2 linked regions of the Arabidopsis thaliana genome follow. The protein of the gene in region 1 interacts with the protein of each later gene in a biochemical or structural test. Each region holds a gene or a part of one and is shown in the gene's direction. Other genes may lie near its edges. The genes, in order: NIK2 and AT4G39270.

Region 1 (6,008 bases):
TGTTATGTTAATACTTAGTATCACACGTGTATCCATGCACACGACATACAAATCATGACATTATCCCGAAAAAAACCAAAATAAAATTGTAGTATATGAAATAAATGATAATGCACTAAGAAATTAGAGTAATGATGAAAGATAGAGGAGAACAGCTTTTGCTTTATAAAGCAGTTTGCTTTTGTGGTTTAAAAAGTGGCTTGTCTGTTGACTAATCACTGCGTAGACAAAGATTTGATTTTTGTGTTTGTATATAAGCTTAGCAGTTGCTCGATCCAATAATTTCTTCATCAATCATTTTTTCATTGTGCAGTAGTAAAGTAATGAAGTACTAGACTCATGTAAAATAATAATATACGCACATCCGATTGGGAACAACATGGTAGAAAAAAATATCAAATTTCCATATATGTTAATCGAAAGACAAAATGGGGGAAAATCACTATTTTATAACATTAAGTCGCATCATTATTAATTTCTTGATCAACTTAACTATAACTATTATGTACTACATTTGGTAAGTTCTTTTCAAACTTTTGTTTTCTCTAACAATTTTCTTTTATTTTAGACCAAATGTTAAGCTCTCAATCATTATTTCTTCTTTTGGAATTTCGAGTTTTGTAGTTTTCTCATTTTAACTTCATTTCGATCATATGTTTTCCGTCTTATCAAGTTCTAATTCTACCCTCTAAAGTACCATCTAATATTCCACCGCTTAAAATATCCAATTGACATTGTCACATTCGGAAGAAAAGAAAACCATCCATTTGGCGAAAGCACATGTTATATTATCAACAAACAACATTGATAAACGATATTTAATTTCAAATGGTTGACAAAACATATTTTAGCACGAATTTAGAGCATAGATAGAAAAAGGATCAAATATCTTAATATAATTAATGAATAGTTATGAAGATATTAACATATATTAACTGTGATGAGTGGGAATAAAAACAGAGTTAAAGGGAGTCATTAAAAAAGAAAAAGAAAAGTTCTAAGTCACAGACTCACAGTATATCTCATCGACACAACGAGTGTCCCACTATTATAATTTTATAATTCACAGTTTATTTAACTTTGCGTTACATCACAATAATTTTCACACTTTATCACTTCGAGGCCACTTGGTTATTCTTCCCGGAATATAAATGCTTTATTAATAACAGATTAATGGTGCTTAGTGCTTACCATATAAATTCACTTTTCACCTGCTCTAATTGATTAATAGTATGATGTATTTTTTTTTATGAAGGCTTATCTTAGGTCTAATTGATTATCGTTTGTTGCTTTCCTACATCCGAGAACAGGTTGAGTCTATTAATCCTCTAGACTTAGAACACAACCAGGTCTTCGAATCCAAATACATTACTTCAAAAAAAAGTCTAAAGAGTAAGTAACATATCTATTGATTTTATAACCCAAAAAACATATTAATTGATTTTTTGTTTTTAGTACATATTCGATTTGGTAGCATCATCCCTTTTTAAAGAGCAAGGCTGGTAAATCCACTAGCTCACACCATTGTCCATGTACCAGTATAACTATGCAACATTCAATACAACATTTCACATAATTATTTATTTTCAATATTAAATCTTAAGTTTTTCTAAAACAGTTGATTGTCTAGAAAAATACATTTTCTTCAAAGCAAATATACATAATTGAAATTGAAAACAGTCGATTGCCAATGAGTTGATTTAAAAGAAAACAAAATTATTTATTAAACCAAAAAAATCGTACATATGTAATATTTCATCATTGTTAAACTCATTTGTATATTTTTTATGATATAGATATATTTTGTTTTGTGTCTTTTTTTTTTTCACCAATTTTGTTTTGTGTCTACGATTGTATAGTAAACCATCTTTGCATTTTTGTAATTTTAAGCACTACAATATAGTTTTTTTTCAATAATTTATTCTCATATATGTAAAAAACGAAGTCGAATTCTGGTAAGAGAGACGAAATTAAATAAATGGACCCATATTTGTAGATAACTTAATATAAATCAAGTTTTTTTTTTTGTGTGCGCGAAGTATATAAACCATAAAAATCTTATAGAATTCTGTTTTTTTATCACATGATTGAAAACTAAACATTTCCCGATTTTGTCTCTGGCCTTTTCCAGTTTACAGTCTAGAGGACCATTAGATAAATAATTGGCAGACAAATCTTTCTCTTTCTCTTTCCCTCTTTAACTCTCACTCACAAATACTTCCAAATCAAAATCCTCTGTTCCATCTTTTTCTTAAAAACCTCCAAACAAAGAATCGAAAAAAAGAATATTTCTTATACAAAAGAAATAAACCTCAAACTCTGCACCTTAGAGATTAATACTCTCAAGAAAAACAAGTTTTGATTCGGACAAAGATGTTGCAAGGAAGAAGAGAAGCAAAAAAGAGTTATGCTTTGTTCTCTTCAACTTTCTTCTTCTTCTTTATCTGTTTTCTTTCTTCTTCTTCTGCAGAACTCACAGACAAAGGTGTTAACTTTGAAGGTAATGTTCATCAACAAAATCTTCCCCCACTTCTCAGTTTCTCCTTTTTTCTTCCTAAAACATGCTTTTCTTTTTTTGTTTCTTCTTTAGTTGTTGCCTTAATAGGAATCAAAAGCTCACTGACTGATCCTCATGGAGTTCTAATGAATTGGGATGACACAGCAGTTGATCCATGTAGCTGGAACATGATCACTTGTTCTGATGGTTTTGTCATAAGGCTGTAAGCACTTACACACCAACACACACACACACACACACATATATGTAATCATGTGTTTACAGTTTTTACTATTGTGTGTATGTAGAGAAGCTCCAAGCCAAAACTTATCAGGAACTCTTTCATCAAGTATTGGAAATTTAACAAATCTTCAAACTGTGTAAGTATGTTTTGTAGTAATTATTAAAACATTGTTTCTTCATCTCTTAATCACTTTAGTTTTCTAATAATTTTGTTTGGAGATACAGGTTATTGCAGAACAATTACATAACAGGAAACATCCCTCATGAGATTGGGAAATTGATGAAACTCAAAACACTTGATCTCTCTACCAATAACTTCACTGGTCAAATCCCATTCACTCTTTCTTACTCCAAAAATCTTCAGTACTTGTATGATTTTATCCATTTTTTCGTTTTGTTTATTTTATCATATTTTTTATATAAATTATTTATGGAGAGATTATTTTTGTGTTGAAAATTGTGGAGCAGGAGGGTTAATAATAACAGCCTGACAGGAACAATTCCTAGCTCATTGGCAAACATGACCCAACTCACTTTTTTGTACATTCTCTTTCTTTTATTTTCTTCTTTAAATTATATTTTACATATATAAATCTGTGTTTATATATATTTTGTAAATGTTTTTCAGGGATTTGTCGTATAATAACTTGAGTGGACCAGTTCCAAGATCACTTGCCAAAACATTCAAGTAAGTCTATTTACGAGAAAGAATATTTGTCTGCTCTGTTTTACTCTGTTCTGAGAAAGTAACAGTGTAATTGTGTTTTTCTTTTCTCTGTAATTTATCCACTTTTATACGTTACCCTAATTATATTATATAGTTTTTATTTAACTTGTTATGCAGTGTTATGGGCAATTCTCAGATTTGTCCAACAGGAACTGAGAAAGACTGTAATGGGACTCAGCCTAAGCCAATGTCAATCACCTTGAACAGTTCTCAAAGTAATATCTAAATTTTCAATATTTTAAAGTAATATTTGAATCCTAGAGAATATATCTAAACTGATTTTTCTTTTCTTCTTGTTGTTGTTGTTGTTGTTAGATAAATCATCTGATGGAGGAACTAAAAACCGGAAAATCGCGGTAGTCTTCGGTGTAAGCTTGACATGTGTTTGCTTGTTGATCATTGGCTTTGGTTTTCTTCTTTGGTGGAGAAGAAGACATAACAAACAAGTATTATTCTTTGACATTAATGGTAAGACCCACAATGACATTTTTAATCCCTTTTCGTTAACTGTTGAATGTGAAACCAGACAAATGTGAGTGTGTGAATTTTTGGGTCTTACACAGAGCAAAACAAGGAAGAAATGTGTCTAGGGAATCTAAGGAGGTTTAATTTCAAAGAACTTCAATCCGCAACTAGTAACTTCAGCAGCAAGAATCTGGTCGGAAAAGGAGGGTTTGGAAATGTGTATAAAGGTTGTCTTCATGATGGAAGTATCATCGCGGTGAAGAGATTAAAGGATATAAACAATGGTGGTGGAGAGGTTCAGTTTCAGACAGAGCTTGAAATGATAAGCCTTGCCGTCCACCGGAATCTCCTCCGCTTATACGGTTTCTGTACTACTTCCTCTGAACGGCTTCTCGTTTATCCTTACATGTCCAATGGCAGTGTCGCTTCTCGTCTCAAAGGTAGTTAATTAAACACCTTGATTTTGATTTCTTTACATGAATTGACCCGGTTTACGATTCGTGTGAATGGTTTGCAGCTAAACCGGTATTGGATTGGGGCACAAGAAAGCGAATAGCATTAGGAGCAGGAAGAGGGTTGCTGTATTTGCATGAGCAATGTGATCCAAAGATCATTCACCGTGATGTCAAAGCTGCGAACATACTTCTTGACGATTACTTTGAAGCTGTTGTCGGAGATTTCGGGTTGGCTAAGCTTTTGGATCATGAGGAGTCGCATGTGACAACCGCCGTGAGAGGAACAGTGGGTCACATTGCACCTGAGTATCTCTCAACAGGACAATCTTCTGAGAAGACAGATGTGTTCGGTTTCGGGATTCTTCTTCTCGAATTGATTACTGGATTGAGAGCTCTTGAATTCGGAAAAGCAGCAAACCAAAGAGGAGCGATACTTGATTGGGTAAGAAGTAAAAGAGTAAAACATTTTCTCTTCTTGTTTCAGTTAGCTTAAAAATACTCACTTCTAGGGTTTTTTCTTTGGGGTTACTTGTAGGTAAAGAAACTACAACAAGAGAAGAAGCTAGAACAGATAGTAGACAAGGATTTGAAGAGCAACTACGATAGAATAGAAGTGGAAGAAATGGTTCAAGTGGCTTTGCTTTGTACACAGTATCTTCCCATTCACCGTCCTAAGATGTCTGAAGTTGTGAGAATGCTTGAAGGCGATGGTCTTGTTGAGAAATGGGAAGCTTCTTCTCAGAGAGCAGAAACCAATAGAAGTTACAGTAAACCTAACGAGTTTTCTTCCTCTGAACGTTATTCGGATCTTACAGATGATTCCTCGGTGCTGGTTCAAGCCATGGAGTTATCAGGTCCAAGATGACAAGAGAAACTATATGAATGGCTTTGGGTTTGTAAAAAACATATATAAGATTGTGTATTTTGTTGTATGCTGTGATCTTGTACAGGTTTTGGTATCAGAAAGACATATTCTCATGCTTTATCCCATGATTAGGAGGAGGTGGAATCACCGCCTCCATTTCGTAGAAACGAAATCGAAAACCTCGCATGTCATCGTCGATGAGGTTTCCTCTTTTATTTTCTTCTTTGTTTTGGTACGTAACCACACTAGTTTGTATGTTCCTGTGACGCTGTCTTTTCCAAACCCGAGGCGAGAGAACTCTACCTTGTTGCTGTCTAAATAATTCTTTCGTTGAATCCTAGCAAGAGGGAGCTTCTTAGACCATCTTGTGTCTGGATTTATCACCATAATTGGCTGTTTCATGTCCACACCACTATATAAACAAAAAAGACCATCCACACTCTTGGAAAATAGTATCCGCCTCTCTTTGTGTTTCTTGCTAGTTAAATATTCTTCTTCTCCCACTAGACGACTCAAAGACCACTCCAACCTCATGGTCTTGTAACGAATGCTTGGCTTAGACCCGTTTCTTCTAACTTCATAGAGACAGAGAAATTTGGGTTCTTTTGTTTTCTGATGCAACATGTATTTCTTCCTGATTTACCTAGACTTTATCGTATGCCTCCAGTGTTTAGACACGGTTTGGAATCTAGTTAGGGTTTTCACTGGAAGCCTTACTATAATCTCTTCCAACACATCGTCGTTTGGTATCTTAAT
Region 2 (6,336 bases), on another chromosome or scaffold:
GTATCCGCCGCCACCGCCTCCTGAGTATCCACCACCGCCTCCGCTGCGGTAACCACCACCGCTTCCACCACGGCCTCCTCCGCCACCGCCGCTACCTCTCGACTGAGCCTCGTTCACGGTGATGACACGTCCATCGAGCTCTTTACCGTTCATCTCTTCAATCGCATCCCTCATGGCTTTCTCGTCCTTGAAGGTGACGAATCCGAATCCCCTTGATCTTCCACTCTCGCGGTCGTTAATGATCTGTAAACAAACAAAATCATACACATCAGCAAAAACAATCGTGGAAGGAATATAAAACAAAGCGATGAATATAAAGCAAAAATCGATCGATCTCCGAGCTCATAGAAGCAGGAAGATGAACGTACCGATGGGACAAATTAAGTAACAGTAACAAAGAACGAGAGAGAACATAGTAACAGTAATCGAATCAAGTAACAGAGAAACAGATCGGAATCAGATCCGTCGAGGATCAGAATCATCGGAATCGGCTCGATCCGGGAGACCGATCTCTCGTGTAACAGACCTTAGAATCGATAACGTCGCCGAACTGTGAGAACGTCCTTTGAAGATCTTCATCATTGGTGGCCCAGGCAAGGCCGCCGACAAAGCACCGGTACTCAACTTCAGACATTTTTTTTTGGGGAAAAGAAGAGAAATTAGGGTTTCAAAATGTAAGAGAGAGACTTATGTGATTTGAGGTGATAAGACGCAGCCTTAATTTATAGAACAGGTGTGACGTAATAACTAGGGTTAAACATGTTTTCTAGGGTTTGCTGAAAGATTTGTTTCAACTTACTCTGATTAAGATGTGTGGTTAATTGGGTTAGTGGTTAGGCCCACATCATGTGAGCATTTTCGATAACTAATGATTTTTTCTCCTCGTTTCGAGCAAAAAATATCTTTGTAAGAATATCTTTTATTCCTTAAATGACAATTTTGTCCTTCGTCTCGTCGTCATTATGTCATACAATAGTTGGGTCTGAGTTTCGTTTATTGGGCCTATCTAATTTAATTGGAAAGATTATAACTTCCGGCCCAATGAATCTGACGGCGAAATTAGTAAAACAATAAAATGAAATAATATGCAAAGACTATGACGATAATGTGCTATGGATTTACATATTTGTTTTGTCATTAATTATGACATGCAATAAATTCATATGAAAAGATTCTTATCGCAATAGCATCGTGGACATGTTACAGTCTGTAATATCCAAACTTTAGCATAGACGTTTTTTGTTGTACAAATATTTTGGTATGTTAAGTGATATTCAAATGAAAGCTAGATGTGCAGATATGTGAACATATAAATCTTTCAATGGAATTCAATTTTCAATCATTGAATATTTGGATACACTCGCTCTGTACTTGAAATATTTTGACTGTCTGAATATTATTTTTTTACAGGATTAATTATTTTGTATACCAAAATTAGACGGATGAAGAATGAAGATGTAGTAGTTATACAAAGTCAATTACAAATGGTTCAGTATCTTGATTTCGATTTTTGTGCTGAAAATGCTGACTAAAGCGTGTAGAAGAGCTTTTTCAACAAGAAATAACCTGGCTAAGATTTTTTTAAGAAATCTGATTATTAATATATCGCAGGTAATATGAAAAAGTATCGTCGACTTTTTATAAGAGTGACAACTAAATCATTTTGCTCATAATAAAGCCACAATTATTATTAGTATATTTTGGTCGTTTTAATACGAGGAAAAATAATTGTCATACAAAATTTACAGAAATGGAGTAGCATCGTAGCTCCTAGGAATTCAATTATTTATTTGCAAAACTACTAAAATGGTGGTTATCATATTAAACGTCAGCAGAAACTTTAAGTATTTTTGAAATGATATTAATTTAAGAGTTCGTTAAGCTGTCTTGGGCGGGATCGTTGAGAGTCAAACTCCTCAAACGACGCCGTATTCAGAACTTCACTTTCAATTACTGTATCTGCGTCTCGGTCACGAGATCGAACCATAAATCTTGGGAACGTGCACGTATACAACGAAAGATCCACCTTCTCTCACTTTTTTTATTTTCTTATACTTTCTTCTCTTTTCTTCGAACGGCCGCTGTTCTTGACCAGTCTGAAGCTTTCTCTGTCCAGAACAGTTCTGTAAGAAGAAGTTTTTATCAAATATTATATAAAAATATCTGTTTCGTATTATATCAGACTTTCCATCTTTCTCTCTCTAAATCTAGGACAAAAAAAAACATGGAAGAGTTAGAGAGAGAGAGAGGCAGCAGAAAATGATTGGTAAACAACAATGAATCGTTTTTGATTCTGAAGTGCACAGAGAAAAGTAATTGCCAGAGAAAGTCGCAGAGGTAACAGAGTGAAGAACCTTTTTTAGTATATATCTTTGTTGAATAATCACAAAAAGAAAGTTTCCTTTATTGATCGGATTCGAAGGAAACCCAAAAAAAAAAGAGATTTGATTATTTCCATAAATCGCGAAGCTTTTTTCCAATTGAATCTTAGGCAATGAATGGCTTTAAGTTTTTCGAAGTACTAGTCGTCACCAGGGTTTAGAGAAACCATGGTGGTTCTGAGGAAGACATCCTTGTTGGTCTTCTTCTTATTCCTCCTCTTGTTGTTAGAGTCAACGTTTGAGCAACAGACAAGTTCTCTGAATGAGAAATCGGCGCTTCTGCTGTTAAGGTCTTCTCTTGGGTTACGAAGCAGAGATTGGCCTGTAAAAGGCAATCCTTGTCTGAACTGGAACGGCATCAAATGTGATCAGAATGGTAGAGTAACTAAGATCAACATTTCAGGGTTCAGAAGGACAAGGATTGGGAATCAAAACCCGGAATTCTCAGTTGGTTCTCTCGTCAATCTCACCCGTCTAGCTTCCTTCAACGCCTCAAGGTTCTATCTTCCAGGTCCAATCCCGGCTTTGTTTGGATCGAGTCTGTTGACTTTAGAGGTGTTGGACCTTAGCTCCTGTTCAATCACAGGAACCATCCCTGAAAGTTTGACTCGGTTATCACATCTCAAAGTTCTTGATCTTTCAAAGAATGCGATCAATGGGGATATTCCTCTGTCTCTTACCTCTCTTCAGAATCTATCAATCCTTGATCTTTCCTCAAACTCGGTGTTTGGTTCGATTCCTGCTAATATTGGGGCACTCTCAAAGCTCCAGCGTCTGAATCTTTCGCGTAACACCTTGACTTCTTCAATACCTCCATCACTCGGAGACCTCTCTGTTTTAATTGACCTTGATCTCAGCTTCAACGGAATGTCAGGTTCGGTTCCATCAGATTTGAAAGGGCTAAGGAACTTGCAGACATTGGTAATTGCGGGAAATCGCCTTTCAGGATCCCTACCTCCTGATCTGTTTAGTTTGCTGAGTAAACTTCAGATCATTGACTTCAGAGGCAGTGGTTTCATAGGCGCTTTACCGTCCAGGTTATGGTCGTTACCGGAGCTCAAGTTTCTAGATATTTCTGGAAATCACTTCTCTGACATGCTGCCTAATACCACTGTCAGTTTTGATTCTACTGTCTCCATGCTTAACATATCCGGGAACATGTTTTACGGCAATCTCACACTTTTACTGACAAGGTTCCAAGTTGTTGACCTGTCAGAAAACTATTTTGAAGGTAAAATTCCTGACTTTGTGCCAACCAGAGCTTCATTGAGCAACAATTGTCTTCAGGGCCCAGAGAAGCAGCGGAAGTTGTCGGATTGCACTTTGTTTTATTCAAAAAAGGGCTTAACTTTCAACAATTTCGGACAACATGAAGAGAAGAAGAGTTCTAAAACTTCCTGGTTAAGCCACACGAAAATAGTTATACTTGCTGCAGTTGGAGGGTCTATATTGCTTATGCTCATTCTCATAGTGTTACCAATAACAGTGAGTTTCTGTGTCCGTCGAAGAAACAGATCATCAACAAGTAATCATCCTAGAGGAAGACACAACGGTGTTGGCCCATTACCTCCTGATGAAACACTTCCCTCAAGAGGAGGAGTCTCTATAAACTTTGGGAGTCTTGGATCATCATTTACCTATCAGCAGTTGCTCAATGCCACCAAGGAGTTCAGTGATTCAAACCTGATCAAGAAAGGACAATCTGGGGATCTTTTCAAGGGAGTTCTAGAAAACGGAGTTCAGATCGTTGTGAAAAGAATCAGCTTGGAATCTACAAAGAACAACGAAGCTTATCTAACCGAGTTGGATTTCTTCAGCCGGTTTGCGCATCCGAGAATAATCCCATTCGTAGGGAAGAGCTTAGAGAGCGCAACTCATAAGTTCTTGGTATACAAGTACATGCTGAATAGGGATTTACCAAGCTCATTGTTCTATAAATCCAATTCCCTAGTTGACAACGGATTGAGATCTCTCGATTGGATCACCAGACTGAAAATAGCATTGGGAGTAGCAGAGGGACTTGCTTACCTGCACCATGATTGCTCACCATCCGTCGTCCACAGGTATGAAAAACCATTCCTTTTACTCTTTTTTTACTTTCAAGCCACCATTAGTTCATTACTGATCTTGAGTCTTCCAATGTTCAATAAGGGATATTCAAGCAAGTAGCATTCTCTTGGATGATAAGTTTGAAGTTAGGCTTGGAAGCTTTAGCAAAGCTTGTCATCAAGAAAACAATGGCCGTCCACGGAAAATAGCCCGATTGCTCAGACTATCCCAGTAAGTGCCTCTGATTCATCATATAACCAATTTTGATTTAAACATCTAACAAACAAGCTTGCTACTGTTTCCCTCTTCAGGTCTTCTCAAGAAAGTGTTCCTGGTGAGTTTATCTTCAAATGCATAAAACAAGCTTGCTAATTTCTTAACTATTCTAACAATCCCTAAAATTCCCAGGGTCTGCAGCTACAGCAACATGTGCCTACGATGTGTACTGCTTCGGCAAGATACTTCTGGAGCTTATCACAGGGAAACTCGGAATCAGCTCATGTAAAGAAACCCAATTCAAAAAAATCCTAACCGAGATCATGCCTTACATTTCATCGCAAGAGAAAGAACCCGTAATGAACATTCTAGACCAATCTCTTCTGGTCGACGAAGACCTCTTAGAAGAAGTCTGGGCAATGGCAATCGTCGCTAGATCTTGTCTTAACCCAAAACCAACGAGACGGCCGCTTATGAGACACATAGTACAAGCCTTGGAGAATCCACTGAGAGTTGTGAGAGAAGACAGCAGCGAATCTGAGAGATTCCGTACGACTGGATCTTCGAGAGGATCTTCGAGTAGCGGTCGAATATTTGGTAGTTGGAGACAGAGCGTGTCTGATCCTGTCGCAGCGGGAACAAGTAGCCTTCTGTCTCAGGCGGAGGGTTTAGCGACTGGATCGTCAGCGAGAGGAAGTAGCCGTGGCGCGTCGAGTCGACGGAGTATGAAAGATGTATAGAAAGAAAGACACACACACACACGATCAATATTTATTTTTTGACGTCAATTTTTAATTATTTTTTATGTGTGGTTATGATTTGATCTCTTGTTGATAAAAAATTCCCGTTAATTTATAATATTTTTCGATGATCAAACCAGACCAGTCTTTTGAGTTTTGATATTCTCGGGTAGCAAACTAGCAATTCGTTTTGTATGGGGTGGGAATCGAAATGTTTTATACTTTGGGGCAATTATATAAAAAACGAAAAGTTTCTGTAATGATGTGTGAATGAGGCTAATAAATGGGCTGCTGTTATCTAACCACGTTGCATCTTTGCACTTAATGGGCCTCTTGGCCCAGTTACTTATTTATTTGATCTAAGTTCTTATTCCTTACATCGTAAATACCACCTCACAAACTTTATACCATACAAAACCAAATGCTAAGTGAAAATTAAATTTGACAAGCCAGATTGCAATTAAGAGTATACACATGTTTAAGATGGAATTGTCAAGTCCAATAACCAAAGGTAGAATTGTAAATACCAAGAGATAATCAAATAAAGTATCTTGAATCAAAAAGATAAATCAAAATATCACTCATATTCCAACTCGGCAGATCGGATTCCGTTTAATAAGATCGAGATCCACCTGCGACAAAATAATGACACATGGATTGAATATATATATTTCCAATAGAACAAAGAAATGTTTACACAAAGTTTTCTTGATAAGTGAAGATTTTGTGCATACCTTGTATATACAAAGAAAGACCGTATGTTTTTTCTAGCCTCTCGTCGAAAGCAATATTGAAAATCTCCTAGAGTGAATCCGAGTACTTGATGTTGTATACCTGAACAACCCACGATCTAAGATGAACACTCAATACATAAATTTTACCTTGTATTATACCCACGGCCGAAGATAGTTTGTGGGCTTCTAGAACCGTCGAACGGAGATGGTTTCTCA

What was found.
Region 2: the proteins of NIK2 (region 1) and AT4G39270 form a complex in vitro, tested with the Arabidopsis thaliana proteins (one large-scale study listed by BioGRID).

The regions. Positions count from the first base shown.
Region 1 is NC_003074.8:9,278,926-9,284,933, reverse strand, and holds NIK2 (NSP-interacting kinase 2), read left to right. Parts: upstream 1-2,073; 5' UTR 2,074-2,373; coding exon 2,374-2,500; intron 2,501-2,590; coding exon 2,591-2,720; intron 2,721-2,805; coding exon 2,806-2,877; intron 2,878-2,965; coding exon 2,966-3,109; intron 3,110-3,205; coding exon of another isoform or gene 3,206-3,208; coding exon 3,209-3,280; intron 3,281-3,368; coding exon 3,369-3,428; intron 3,429-3,584; coding exon 3,585-3,682; intron 3,683-3,782; coding exon 3,783-3,935; intron 3,936-4,030; coding exon 4,031-4,372; intron 4,373-4,449; coding exon 4,450-4,829; intron 4,830-4,922; coding exon 4,923-5,241; coding exon of another isoform or gene 5,242-5,252; exon of another isoform or gene 5,253-5,337; coding exon 5,338-5,384; coding exon of another isoform or gene 5,385-5,403; 3' UTR 5,404-5,421; downstream 5,422-6,008. Other genes in the region: AT3G25550 (F-box family protein), read right to left, coding at 5,347-5,403, 5,499-5,820, 5,896-6,008.
Region 2 is NC_003075.7:18,274,325-18,280,660, forward strand, and holds AT4G39270 (Leucine-rich repeat protein kinase family protein), read left to right. Parts: upstream 1-1,986; 5' UTR 1,987-2,549; coding exon 2,550-4,444; coding exon of another isoform or gene 4,445-4,532; coding exon 4,533-4,661; coding exon of another isoform or gene 4,662-4,665; exon of another isoform or gene 4,666-4,741; coding exon 4,742-4,764; coding exon of another isoform or gene 4,765-4,802; exon of another isoform or gene 4,803-4,838; coding exon 4,839-5,386; 3' UTR 5,387-5,617; downstream 5,618-6,336. Other genes in the region: CCR1 (cold, circadian rhythm, and RNA binding 1), read right to left, coding at 1-243, 527-634; AT4G39280 (phenylalanyl-tRNA synthetase, putative / phenylalanine-tRNA ligase), read right to left, coding at 5,968-6,018.